3 linked regions of the Macaca fascicularis genome follow. The protein of the gene in region 1 binds, or shares a complex with, the protein of each later gene. Links are inferred from orthologs where the notes say so. Each region holds a gene or a part of one and is shown in the gene's direction. Other genes may lie near its edges. The genes, in order: GRB14, HRAS and INSR.

The links.
Region 2: the proteins of GRB14 (region 1) and HRAS are in contact, whole or in part, in a crystal structure (PDB 4K81), measured with the Homo sapiens proteins. The link is inferred for Macaca fascicularis from reciprocal best matches to the Homo sapiens genes GRB14 and HRAS. Residues at the interface, in NP_004481.2 of Homo sapiens: Val109, Lys111, Asp116, Glu117, Thr118, Ser119, Arg120, Ala121, Leu122, Asp123, Lys140, His142; in NP_001123914.1 of Homo sapiens: Glu31, Asp33, Pro34, Ile36, Glu37, Asp38, Ser39, Tyr40, Arg41, Tyr64, Met67.
Region 3: the proteins of GRB14 (region 1) and INSR are in contact, whole or in part, in a crystal structure (PDB 2AUH), measured with the Homo sapiens proteins. The link is inferred for Macaca fascicularis from reciprocal best matches to the Homo sapiens genes GRB14 and INSR. Residues at the interface, in NP_004481.2 of Homo sapiens: Glu373, Asn374, Ser375, Leu376, Val377, Ala378, Met379, Asp380, Phe381, Ser382, Ser386, Val388, Ile389, Glu394, Val398, Ala399, Glu401, Glu402, Gly403, Leu404, Trp406, Arg407; in NP_000199.2 of Homo sapiens: Leu1065, Arg1066, Ile1069, Glu1070, Lys1112, Arg1116, Arg1163, Met1180, Arg1182, Tyr1190, Lys1192, Gly1193, Gly1194, Lys1195, Gly1196, Leu1197, Leu1198, Pro1199, Val1200, Trp1202, Ser1207, Leu1208, Lys1209, Asp1210, Gly1211, Gln1235, Asn1242, Glu1243, Leu1246.

Annotation. Positions count from the first base shown.
Region 1 is NC_088386.1:60,172,639-60,176,641, reverse strand, and holds the start of GRB14 (growth factor receptor-bound protein 14), read left to right. Parts: upstream 1-1,182; 5' UTR 1,183-1,355; coding exon 1,356-1,546; intron 1,547-2,823; coding exon 2,824-2,956; intron 2,957-4,003. UniProt on the Homo sapiens protein: Adapter protein which modulates coupling of cell surface receptor kinases with specific signaling pathways. Binds to, and suppresses signals from, the activated insulin receptor (INSR). Potent inhibitor of insulin-stimulated MAPK3 phosphorylation.
Region 2 is NC_088388.1:433,472-437,468, reverse strand, and holds the start of HRAS (GTPase HRas), read left to right. Parts: upstream 1-1,169; 5' UTR 1,170-1,586; exon of another isoform or gene 1,587-1,602; intron 1,603-3,198; exon of another isoform or gene 3,199-3,343; intron 3,344-3,997. UniProt on the Homo sapiens protein: Involved in the activation of Ras protein signal transduction. Ras proteins bind GDP/GTP and possess intrinsic GTPase activity.
Region 3 is NC_088393.1:7,851,015-7,854,577, reverse strand, and holds part of INSR (insulin receptor), read left to right. Parts: intron 1-1,037; coding exon 1,038-1,140; intron 1,141-3,351; coding exon 3,352-3,419; intron 3,420-3,563. UniProt on the Homo sapiens protein: Receptor tyrosine kinase which mediates the pleiotropic actions of insulin.

The DNA of each region.
Region 1 (4,003 bases):
TAGTGGTCGGTGCCTCGGTGGGCGAGGATGCACTGAGATGGGGGAGGGGGGCTGCTACTTTCTTCTGGAGGCAATGTTTACCTTTCCCTGGGCAGAGGTTGTTGAAATTAAGAAAACCTGGTAAAGCAGATGCCAGGGACAGATATTACCCAATTTGGTCAAAGAACAAAGACCCTGTGAAACATTTGGAAATCCTCAGCAGTGCATAGGGACGGCCACACTCACCGGAAGAGCAGAAACAGGATCACCCAGCATTTCAGAGTAGGGCTGCTGCATCTCAGAGGGTGAGCATGATAATGCCATTACTATTTCAAACAGTCTGGGTTTTTGAGAAGTTTCTGGGTTGGAATATTGACTGCACCAGCTACTAGTGCTATGTTACTAGTGCAAGGTACTCGATGGCTTTGAGCCCCAGTTTCCTTTTGTGTAAAATGAGATAAACATCTAATTTATGGAGCTGTTGAGGGGATGGAATAGGTAGCGTAAGGCAACCTGGAATTCATTAATGTAAGCTTCTCTCATTACCATAAAACGAATAGTCTTTCTAATTCCAGACAGCTAGGGGTTTACTCATGCTTTACTGAGAATTCTCAGAATCTCAGTAGTTTTCTATAATGATTGGACTCTTTGCTCCCCACCAACCCCCCAATCTTTGGCTGCGAAGTGCATGGAAGAAGAGGCACGTGGGGAAGGACTGGGGCAAACCCAGCCCCCTGGTGCCCTGGCCTCCTGCCCTCCTGGCCCGGTAGGGACTGTCATGGCGGCCCAGCAACAGCTTAGGTGATCTCAGATGGCAGAGCAGGAAGAATGCAAGGGTATGAGGGTCAGGGCTGCGCAGACCCCTGTCCCGCCTGCGGTCCTCCCGGCAAGCCCAGGGGGAGAGCCCGCTCTGCTGGGTCTCCGCCTCCAGCGGCGCCGGGCCGCCCAGACCCTGGGCTCAGTCTTGCGCCCCGGTGCCCACCTGGGGAGGCGACTGTCCCGGCCTCGCGTCCCGGATCGGACGGCGCGGGAGCGATGCCAGCGGCCCCGAGCGCCCCGGGCCACGCGCGGTGCCGGCCGGACGCTCTCGCGCCCTCCCAGCCCCCTCCGCGGCTCGCCCCGCCGCCCGCGGCCCCCACCCACCGGCCGCTCCTCCCCTCTCCCCACCCTCCTCCTCCGCCCCCTCCCCTCCCCCGCCGCCTCGCAGATTGCTCGGCAGCGTGTCTCAGCCGCCGGGGCTCCGAGCGCAGGCTGCGAGGCCACCACACCTGCAGAGCGCTCGGGCTGCCTAGCCGGCACCTCGCCTCCGGCCGCGCGGTCCCCTTCTCCCCACGCGCCGAGTGTCCCATGACGCCCGAGCCCCCCGGCCGGCGACAATGACCACTTCCCTGCAAGATGGGCAGAGCGCCGCGGGCAGGGCGGCTGCCCGGGATTCGCCGCTGGCCGCCCAGGTGTGCGGCGCTGCCCAGGGGAGGGGCGACGCCCACGACCTGGCGCCGGGCCCCTGGCTGCACGCGGGAGCGCTCCTGCCCCCTCCGGACGGGACCCGCGGCTGTGCTGCAGACAGGTAGGCAACCCTGGAGGGCGCGGGGGAGTGTCCTGGCTAGGCAGCAGGCGACGGGGTGAGGAGGCGGTCCTAGGGGGTGAGCCATGTGCCCAGAGCTGGGCCAAGTTTGTAAAAGTCTCTGAAGACAATCCCCTTTGAGCTGGCTCCTACTGGATCAGCAGGACATTGCGATCTCACAGCGCCTTATAAATAGCATCACCGTTTCATTGAGAGCTCTCATCTCTCTCGCCTCTGCCCATCGGTGTGAAACTAGGAGGTCAGGCTGCAGGTTGATCACCTTCTGTTCCTTCGTGGCCCTGCATTTTCACAAAGTAAACTCTATTTTATTTTATATATTTTAGAAAATTGTAGCATAAATGTATTCACCTCCCACATAGAGTCTTAGAGCGACCCTGTAGAAGCAAAGCATAGATTGACATTTGAGCAGTCTTGCTGTTCAGCAGGAAAGAATAGAGGCTTTAAAGGGTTTCCCAATCTCCATAGCATTCAACACTAAGTGCCTTTAGGGTTGCACATACTTTCGGGAAAAAAAAAGGTTACAACAATACAAAAATCTATAGTCCTTTATATTGATACATTTAAATGTTACCTTTTTTCCCTGATTTTCAAAGCACTCCAACTTCAGTGAAGTTAAAATTACTCTCCAGTGGACTATAGTACATTTATATTAGCAAGTTCTATTAACTTACCTCCCCAAAACACTACCTTGCTATTTAATATCTATAAGCACTTGAAAATCAACAGACTGTGTGTGGGCAACATTGTGAATGAAATTTGAAGTGAGATGAACCACAGCTATAATTAATAAATCATAACTTCCCAAAGTGATTAGTAAAATATAAGGACGAATGCACTAAATGCAACTTAGAGACAATATCATGGATGCATAACAATGTCTGACTCTTCAGGATGATGTTTCGATTAGTAATTGTATAGTCTATATCTCTGTTTCAGGAAAATTATCAAACGTGATGGAGTTTCTATGCCTGGTGATTTAAAGGCAAAAGAGAGAGAGAAAGAAGGGGGTGGGGGAAGAGAGAGAGACAGAGAGAGAGAGAGAGAGAGAGAGGAACTATAGGAGATTTGTTTGTATGTAATTAACATACTATATTTTGACCCATAGAAAGTATATCACAGACCTTTTCTGTATACTTTATATAATATGAGCTTTGTCACAGAGTGGTACATGTTCGCCTTAGCACACTTTTTAATCCTGACAGCAATTATATTTTACATTCTGTTTTATGTAAATTACATCCTATGTTCTCTTACTGTAGGAGAAAAAAGAAAGATCTTGATGTTCCGGAAATGCCATCTATTCCAAACCCTTTTCCTGAGCTATGCTGTTCTCCATTTACATCTGTGTTGTCAGCAGACCTGTTTCCCAAAGCAAATTCAAGGAAAAAACAGGTATGCATTTGTAAATTTTAAAATTCAAATATCTTAGGAGTTCTGAATCCATACAGTCTTTAAGATTGTTCTGTAATCCACAGTATTAACAAAGGATTAGCATGGGCTCTGTTAAATATCTCAGTTGACTGACATGGTCCTTTGGCATTATTTTCCATTTAGGGCCTCATTTTTTTAAGCTGTATAATGGGAATGTTCAAACCTGCCTCCGAGGGTCTTGGAATGGATTAAAACAGAGGATATATATAAAGTGCAGTGGTTGGCAGCAATGATCATTCACAAGATAGGTAGGAGAGATGATCATTTTTAAGCCAGGAATTGGGCAGAGGCTGCGGCGGGGTGGGCAGTGGTAGTGGGGTGAGAAGGGGATTGACTGATTCATTTAATACTTCGTTTAATTTTTCACATTTCCAACCCAAGCCAACCTCATTTACTAAAGGAAAGTGATAGAGTGATGCTGTGGCAAAAGGTACTTAGAGTTTAGGGTCAACATGTCTTCATTTCAGTAGATTCCTCAGTTTGGAGACTCTGGCTGCAGAAGATAGATGACTTGTAAGTGATACTTAGAAGACTGAGGACCATATTTTTATGATTTTCTTTTTTTCAAGTTTCTAGTTTGGGACGGACTTAAGCAAATTAGATTTTAAGGACCAAGCAACTAACAGAAAATACATCATGGCTATACATTTGGAGGGGAAAATAATGAGTATATCATAGAATAATTCATCTCTTGTCATATACTTTCTTCTAGTTTTGACCCAGCAAAACAAAGAGAAGCCTCACTAAACAAAATGCACCTTGTTCTTACAAGGGTGGAAACAGTAAATTAAAATAGCCAGATGCTTGCAATGGGAGAAGGATAATGAACAGAGAGGACAAGACAGTTGGCCATTTTTCTGCATCTATTGTTCTCTTTTTTATTTCTGCACCGTTATTACCTCTGATGGGTTCAACTGTGTGTGTTTATATTTTTAGGAATGAAGGAAATACCTTAGGAAGCAGATGAATTCTTGATCATATACAGCAATGATAGAGACAGTAGGAAAT
Region 2 (3,997 bases), on another chromosome or scaffold:
TCTCATGGAGTTTCCAGCCAGAATCTCCCCCACTGCCTGCCTTTCTCCAGATGGTGGAAGGCCCCAGGCCTCACAGCAGGACCCCACCACTGCGTTCCCCCAAAGACTCTGGCCACCTCCATCCCAGGCCTGCCAGTCTTGAGCCTCATGGAGTACGTGAGCTGGCCGGGTCATGCGCAGCCCCAGGACATCTATGGGTGGCACTAAGGGCTGAGTCAGCCACCCTTGTCTCCTCTGTGCCCAAGAGCCCGAGTATCAGGCTGGTCTGAGCCCCAAGGCCTAGGGGTGCAAGGACCAGGGGTTGGAGGCTGTGGAGTCCCAAGCCCCCACTGGACTCCCACCTCAGACACTGCTCCTGGTGTTCTCGCCCAGGCCTGAACCCATCCGCACACTTCGCAGTCCTGCTCCTACCCTGTGTCCCCTCTGCGAGCCCCCATGCTCCCCAAATTGGAAACTGGAGGAATTCTGTCTCCACACCCCAGCTAGTGCCATTCCCTGGTGGGTAGCTCATCACCTCTGGTCCCCTGCAGCCCTTGCCCCTTCACCATGGACGCTGGGAGGGCAGAGCCCGCTCCCCTGCTGAGCCCCACCCTGGAACTCCAAGCACCCTGGGTCCTTGCCTCTGCATCTCCCTCAGGGGCAAGGCTTGGGGCCCCTCCTGCCTCCTGACAGGGAGCCCCTTCAGTGCAGGGCCAGGGGGTGGTGGAGGCAAGGGTCCCCAGGGGACCAGATCTGACGTGCGGGGCCTCCACTGGGTCCCCGTTGGCTGTGCTGCTTAGTCCCCGCGCCCTCGCCTCGGCGCAGGCTCCCTCCTGCCACCAGGCATACGGCGAGGCCTGTGGCTCCCACCCCAAGGGTGCGCTCGGCTCTCACCTGAGGGCTCAGCCCAGGTGTCCGGCCCTGGCAGCTCGGCCCTGGGCGCCCTCCGCCGCCAGGCGCTGTCTCCTACTCCAGGCTGTTCTTCCGGCTGCGGGGTTGCGGCCTGGGTCCCATGGCAACGTGGGCGGGTCCTCATTTGAATACGCAAATATTTATAAGCCGCAGGAGGCTCGGGTTCTGAGGGGCTGAGCCACGCCCCTTAGCAACGGTCGCTAGGGCGGGGCCACGTGAGTTGGCACTTGGGTGGGCGATCCCGGGGGAGGTGACGCGCCACCAAGTCGGGTGGGCGCAGGCGCGTCAGGTGCCAGCTCCCTGCGGCTCCGTGCCCGGGCCGTCGCGGTGCACGTGTCGCGTTTCCTCGCGATCCCGGCGCTTCCCACGCGGGGCCGGCAAGGGCGGTCTCTGCTGGAGGCTCCCGCCCACCTTTCCCACGTGGAAGGGTCGCCCCTGGGGTCGAGGCCTGACGCCCTGACCTTCGATTGGAAGTGAGGCCGACAGCAAAAGGAAGCACCGGGGCAAGCGCCCCGGAGGACCAGGAAACACAGACCGGATGCCGAAGCGCGCCCGAGTGCCCGGCCCGTGGGACACGCCGCCGCCCGCCGTTCAGTCGCCGCCTCTCACCTGCGTTCATGCGCGTCCGCCCCGAGCCGGGCTCTGACTGCGACCGCGCGGTGGATGGACGGCAGGCGGGACCCCCGGGACCGCACGTGGGTGGAGCCCCGGGTCAGCGGCGACCGGCGCAGGAGGGCGTGGCGGCGGGGCGGGCACTGGGTTGGGCAGAGGCAGGGTTTGCCTGACCGTAAAACGCCTTTTTTTCTTTTAAACGCCTTTTTTTTGAGACGAAGTTGCGCTCTGTCACCCAGGCCGGAGTGCAGTGGCGCGATCTCGGCTCACCGCAACATTCGCCACCCGGGTTCCAGCGATTCTCCTGCCTCAGCCTCCTGAGTAGTTGGGCCTACAGGCTCGCGCCACTGCAGCCGACTAATTTTTTGCATTTTTAGTAGAGACGGGATTTCATCATGTTGGCCAGGCCGGTCTTGAACTCCTGACCTCAAGTAATCCACCGGCCTAGGCCTCCCAAAGTGCTGGGATTATAGGCGTGAGCCACCGCGGCCGGCCCCTTTTGCTTTTTTTTTTTTTTTTTTTTTTTTTTTTTTAGACGGAGTCTCGCTCTGCCACCCAGGCTGGAGTGCAGTGGCCGGATCTCAGCTCACTGCAAGCTCCGCCTCCCGGGTTCACGCCATTCTCCTGCCTCAGCCTCCCAAGTAGCTGGGACTACAGGCGCCCGCCACCTCGCCCGGCTAGTTTTTTGTATTTTTTAGTAGAGACGGGGTTTCACCGTGTCAGCCAGGATGGCCCTTTTGCTTTTTAATGAGAATGTATTTCTGATTCCTTTGCAATTTAAAAAAATGTTAAAAAAAAAAAAAAAAACACGTCTTTTGGGGTTTGAAAGAGCTAGGATGTGGTCTTTGTGCTTGGGGTGAGCCCTGGGCACTTCGCTCTCCTGTGGCAACCTGTAGGTACCGTTTAACTGCACCACGCTGAGCTTCTGCATGGTTGGAACCTCAAGTCTGGGGGGACTGAGCGGGCAGGGTCGCCTGCCACGCAGGCCCAAGTAAGAGAAGTGGTGGAGGGGGCGTTCTCACGCCTGGCCCCAGGGAGCACGGCTGCGCCCGCCGCTCGAAACCCCACCGGAGCTGCAAGGCGTCCTCGGGGTGGGCTGAGGTGGGAGTAGGGGAGCTGGGGTGCGTGTGGTAGGTGGGGTGCGCGGAGGAGGCGGGGTGCGCACCGTCCGGGTGCGGGGCCACTCCACCTGCGCGGAAGGGGAGCCGGGCAACCGGACCCCGCGGCCACCCGGGGGCCCCCAGCTCCGAGCGGCCCGCCTTGGTCCCGACGGATCCCAGCCTTTCCTCAGCCGGAGCCCCGGGACCTCCGCGGTGGGCGACGCCGCGCTGCGGACGCAGGGAGGGCCTCGAGTGCACGGGCGCCGCTGAGTCGGGTTCTCTCGCCGGCCTGTTCCCGGGAGAGTCCACGGCCCTGCTCGGATATGCCGCCGCAGGCCCCCAGACACCTGCTCCCTCGCCCTCCTTGAGCAACCCCGAGCTTGCCTCCGCTCGCCGGCCTAGCCCAACCCCCCGAGGCCGCGGCCCTTCTGGCTCCGCCTCCCGCGTTGCTCCCGGAAGCCCTGCCCGACCGCGGCTCCTGACAGACGGGCCGCTCAGCCAACCGGGGCGGGGCGGGGCCTGGTGTAGCGAGGCCAATGGTAGGTCGCGCAGGGCTGACGGACGGGCGCGGGGTGGGGCGTGCGCGAGCCCGGCCGAGTCTCCGCCGCCCGCTCCCTGCGCCTGCAGCCCCAGCCGCACCCGCCGCGGACGGAGCCCATGCGCGGGGAGAACCGCGCGCCCCCGCCCCCGCCCCCCCCTGGCCTCGGCCCCGGCCCCGGGGGCAGTCGCGCCACTGAGCGGTGAGTGCGGGCCGGGGTCGGCCGGGCCGCGCGCCCTCCCCGCCCCCAGGCGGCAGCCATACGCGCGGCGCGGGCCGGGGGCGCGGGACCGGCGGGCGTGAGCGGCTGCGGCGGCGGTAGTGGGTGGGTGGGGCCGGGCCGGGCCGGGCGGGGCCCCCAGGCACAGGTGAGCGGGCGTCGGGGGCTGCGGCTGGCGGGGGCGGGCTGAGGCCCCTTAGTCCCTGGGGCCTGCGGGAATCCGGGCCCCGCCCGTGGCCTCGCTCTGGGCACGGTCCTCACGCCGGCGTCCCCGGGAGCCTCGGGCCCGGCGCCCTCATAACCAGGCGCGTCTGGGCGGAGGCGGCCGCGGCCACGGCACGCCCGGGCACCCCCGATTCAGCATCACAGGTCGCGGACGAGGCCGGGGGCCTCAGCCCCAGGGCCCTTCCCCTCTCCGGGTCTCCCGCGCCGCCTCTCGGCCCCTTCCTGTGGCTCAGCCCCTGCTTCCCAGGAGCCCCTCTGTCTTTTCCAGCTTTCTGTGGCTGAAAGATGCCCCCGGTTCCCCGCCGGGGGCGCGGGGCGCTGCCCGGGTCTGCCCTCCCCTCAGCGGCGCCTAGCACGCAGTAGGCGCTCAGCAAATACTTGTCGGAGGCACCAGCGCCACGGGGCCTGCAG
Region 3 (3,563 bases), on another chromosome or scaffold:
GAGGCAAGAGGATTGCTTGAGGATAGGCATTAGAGACCGGCCTGAGTAACATAGCGAGACTCTGTCTCCACAAAAAGATACAAAAATTAGCCAGCTGTGGTGGTGCATGCCTGTAATCCCAGCTACTTAGGAGGCTGAGACAGGAGGATCACTTGGGCCCAGGAGTTTGAGGTTGCGGTGAACTGTGATTGTGCCACTATACTCCAGCCTGGGTGACAGAGCAAGACCCTGTCTCTAAAACATAAAAATCAAAAGAATTTTACGTCTGTCAGAAGTCACGCTGGGGTCGAGACTAGCTATATAATTTGCAAGACCCAGTGAAAAATGAAAATGCAGAGCTCCTCGCTTTAAAATTATTAAGAATTTGGCCGGGCGCAGTGGCTCACGCCTGTCATCCCAGCACTTTCGGAGGCTGAGGTGGGAGGATCGCCTGAGGTCAGGAGTTTGAGACCAGCCTGGCCAACAAGGTGAAACCCTGTCTCTACTAAAAGTACAAAATTAGCCAGGCGTGGTGGTGCACACCTGTAATCCCAGCTACTCAGGAAGCTGAGGCAGGAGAATCGCTTGAACCTGGAAGGAGGAGGTTCCAGTGAGCCGAGATCGTGCCACTGAACTCTAGCCTGGGTGTCAGAGCAAGACTCCGTCACAAAAATAAGTAACTAAATAAAGATTAAAATAAAATGAATAAGCATTTCAGAGGGGCAGCAGCAGAGCCTTAAACTGACAGTATGGCGTCCTGCATCCACTGCCTGAGATGTGGGAGGGGTGGAAATGAGCAGTGATTTGGGAGTGGGGGTGGGGAACAGTGTGCTAACAGAATACTGACCTCTGAGCCCACTGCCTGGTCCTACTGAACCTACGGGACTGTTGTGGGACTGCTGGAAAAATCAGGGTATGGAAGAGTAGCAGAGAAGTTCATGGACAAGGGAGGGAGGAAACAGGGTGGCCCACCCATTCCAGGAGTGGATGTGATTTTTGGTGTTAACTTTCTTGGGAACACATTGATATGAAACATATATTTTCTTATTCTATTTCAGTAGATGTCCCGTCAAATATTGCAAAAATTATCATCGGCCCCCTCATCTTTGTCTTTCTCTTCAGTATTGTGATTGGAAGTATTTATCTATTCCTGAGAAAGAGGTGAGTTGAGTGAGTTCAGTGGTGTGCTGGGAACCATTGGTTCTCTGGGGGAAATTATGCCTCGATATAGGTATAGGTATATGTAAGTTTATTATGAATTTTACTGATATAGGATGTGTAATGTGCAATTTACAGATAATTGTCATAATACGACATATGCAACTCTTTATTGTAAATTCCCTCTAACCAGTTGATTCTCACAGAAAGTTTTTGTTGACTTTTTAAATTTTTTTGCCCAAACCTTTATATCTGAAGCCAACCTATTATTGCAATTAATTAAACAAGTATAGCTCCAATGTGAATGTTGATTAATTTTTCAAAATTTACATTAAAGAGTAGGACATGGCTGGGCACAGTGGCTCACGCCTGTAATCCTAGCATTTTGGGAGGCCAAGGCGGGTGAATCACCTGAGGTCAGGAGTTTGAGATCAGCCTGGCCAACATGGTGAAACCTCATCTCTACTAAAAATACTAAGAAATTAACCGGGCGTGGTGGTAGGCGCCTGTAATCCCAGCTACTCAGGAGGCTGAGACAGGAGAATTACTTGAACCTTGGAGGTGGACGTTGCAGCTAGCCAAGATCCCGCCATTGCACTCCAGCCTGGGCAACAGAGTGAGACTCCATCTCAGAAAAAAAAAAAAAAAAGAGTAGGATAAAACTGAAATAAGACATATATGTTCATCAGTGATATGAGTGATGTCTTTGCTGAGTCAGATAATTTTTAAATACCAGAAGAACATTTTCGTAATGTTTTGTGCCATGCGCAATGTCACAGTTGCAGACATGACATGCTTTTAAGTTTAATCTACATGATTAAACATTTTTCTCGGCTGGGCGCGGTGGCTCACACCTGTAATCCCAGCACTTTGGGTGGCCGAGGTGGGCGGATCATGAGGTCAGAGTTCGAGACTAGCCTGACCAACATGGTGAAACCCCGTCTCTACTAAAAATACAAAAATTAGCAGGGTGTGGTGGTGCACGCCTGTAATCCCAGCTCCTCAGGAGGCTGAGGCAGGAGAATCGCTTGAACCCGGGAGGCAGAGGTTGCAGTGAGCTGAGATCACACCATTGCGCTCCACCCTGGGCAACAGAGCGAGACTCTGTCTCAAAAACAAAACAAAAAACATTTTTCTCATCAATTCCTCAAGCCTGGACAAACAACAGAACAACAAATCCAGTCCCAAGTTATAGCATTTGCCAGTTTCTGTAATGTAAATATTCCCAGCATGTCTAATTTCAGGCTGTAGGCATAATATTACTGAGCACAGTGTCGGAAAGAGACACATGATAGCTCCCCATTGAATTCACCCTATGGATACAATATGGTGTATAAATGATATAAGGTAAATAACCTCAACTGCATTGATCATAGTAAAATGGAGTATGAGAGTTAGAAAGTGATGAGTTTTGAACATGTATTGTCTTTGCTTTTAGGGTAATTTATTTAATTGCAAGCCTCTATAATTTACATTTTTTGTTCTATTTGGAAGGCATTGTACAATTTAATCTTTAATGATGCTTGTATTTAATAACTGGCTCACTCGTTTCCTGAAAATTTAATAATTGTTTCTCATCAGTCGGGATGAGCTCGCTGTAGAACAGTACTGGGTGAGTGGCTTTTAAGTGTTACATAGACAGCCATAAATTATAATAAAAGCCAGCCAGAGCCCTGCATGGTCGTGCACATCTGTAATCCCAGCCACTCAGAAGGATGAGGCAGGAGGATCACTTGAGACCAAGAGTTCAAGACCAGCCTGGGCAACATAGTGAGACCCTGTCTCTACGAAATTTTAAAAATTAGCAGCCAGGTGTGGTGGTGAGCACCTGTATTCCCAGCTATTCAAAAAGCTGAGGTGAGAGGATCTCTGGAGCCCAGAAGGTCGAGACTGCAGTGAGCTATGATTAAACCACTGCCGTCCAGCCACAACACAGCAAGACTCCAACTCTGAAATGTGAAAAAAAAAATAAATAAATACCTGGGGAGGGATCAGTGCTGCTGCCATGTTGATGCACTTAAGTACTTGTCTGATGGGCTTCCATTCAAAACATAAAGGTCCCCCATCCCTGCCCTAGACTGCATCTAGAATTATGGGGATTCTGCTGGTAAGGGCTGCCATTTGCCTTGAGGAGTCTTGTATGAAACCCCTTTCTGGAGACCTGCAGAGTCCCATGAGAACCTCAAGCTAATGTGCCTCATTTTTCTCCTCCAGGCAGCCAGATGGGCCGCTGGGACCGCTTTACGCTTCTTCAAACCCTGAGTATCTCAGTGCCAGTGATGGTGAGTACCATCCCTTCCCTGTGGGTGACCAGTACCCTATTCAACAGCTTCCTTTGCCTTCACCATTGAGTGAGAGTGAAGGATGGGTTCCCCAGGGAGGCCAAGAAAAGCCCTCTTAGTCATTTGAGCTTGCCAAACTGCCCT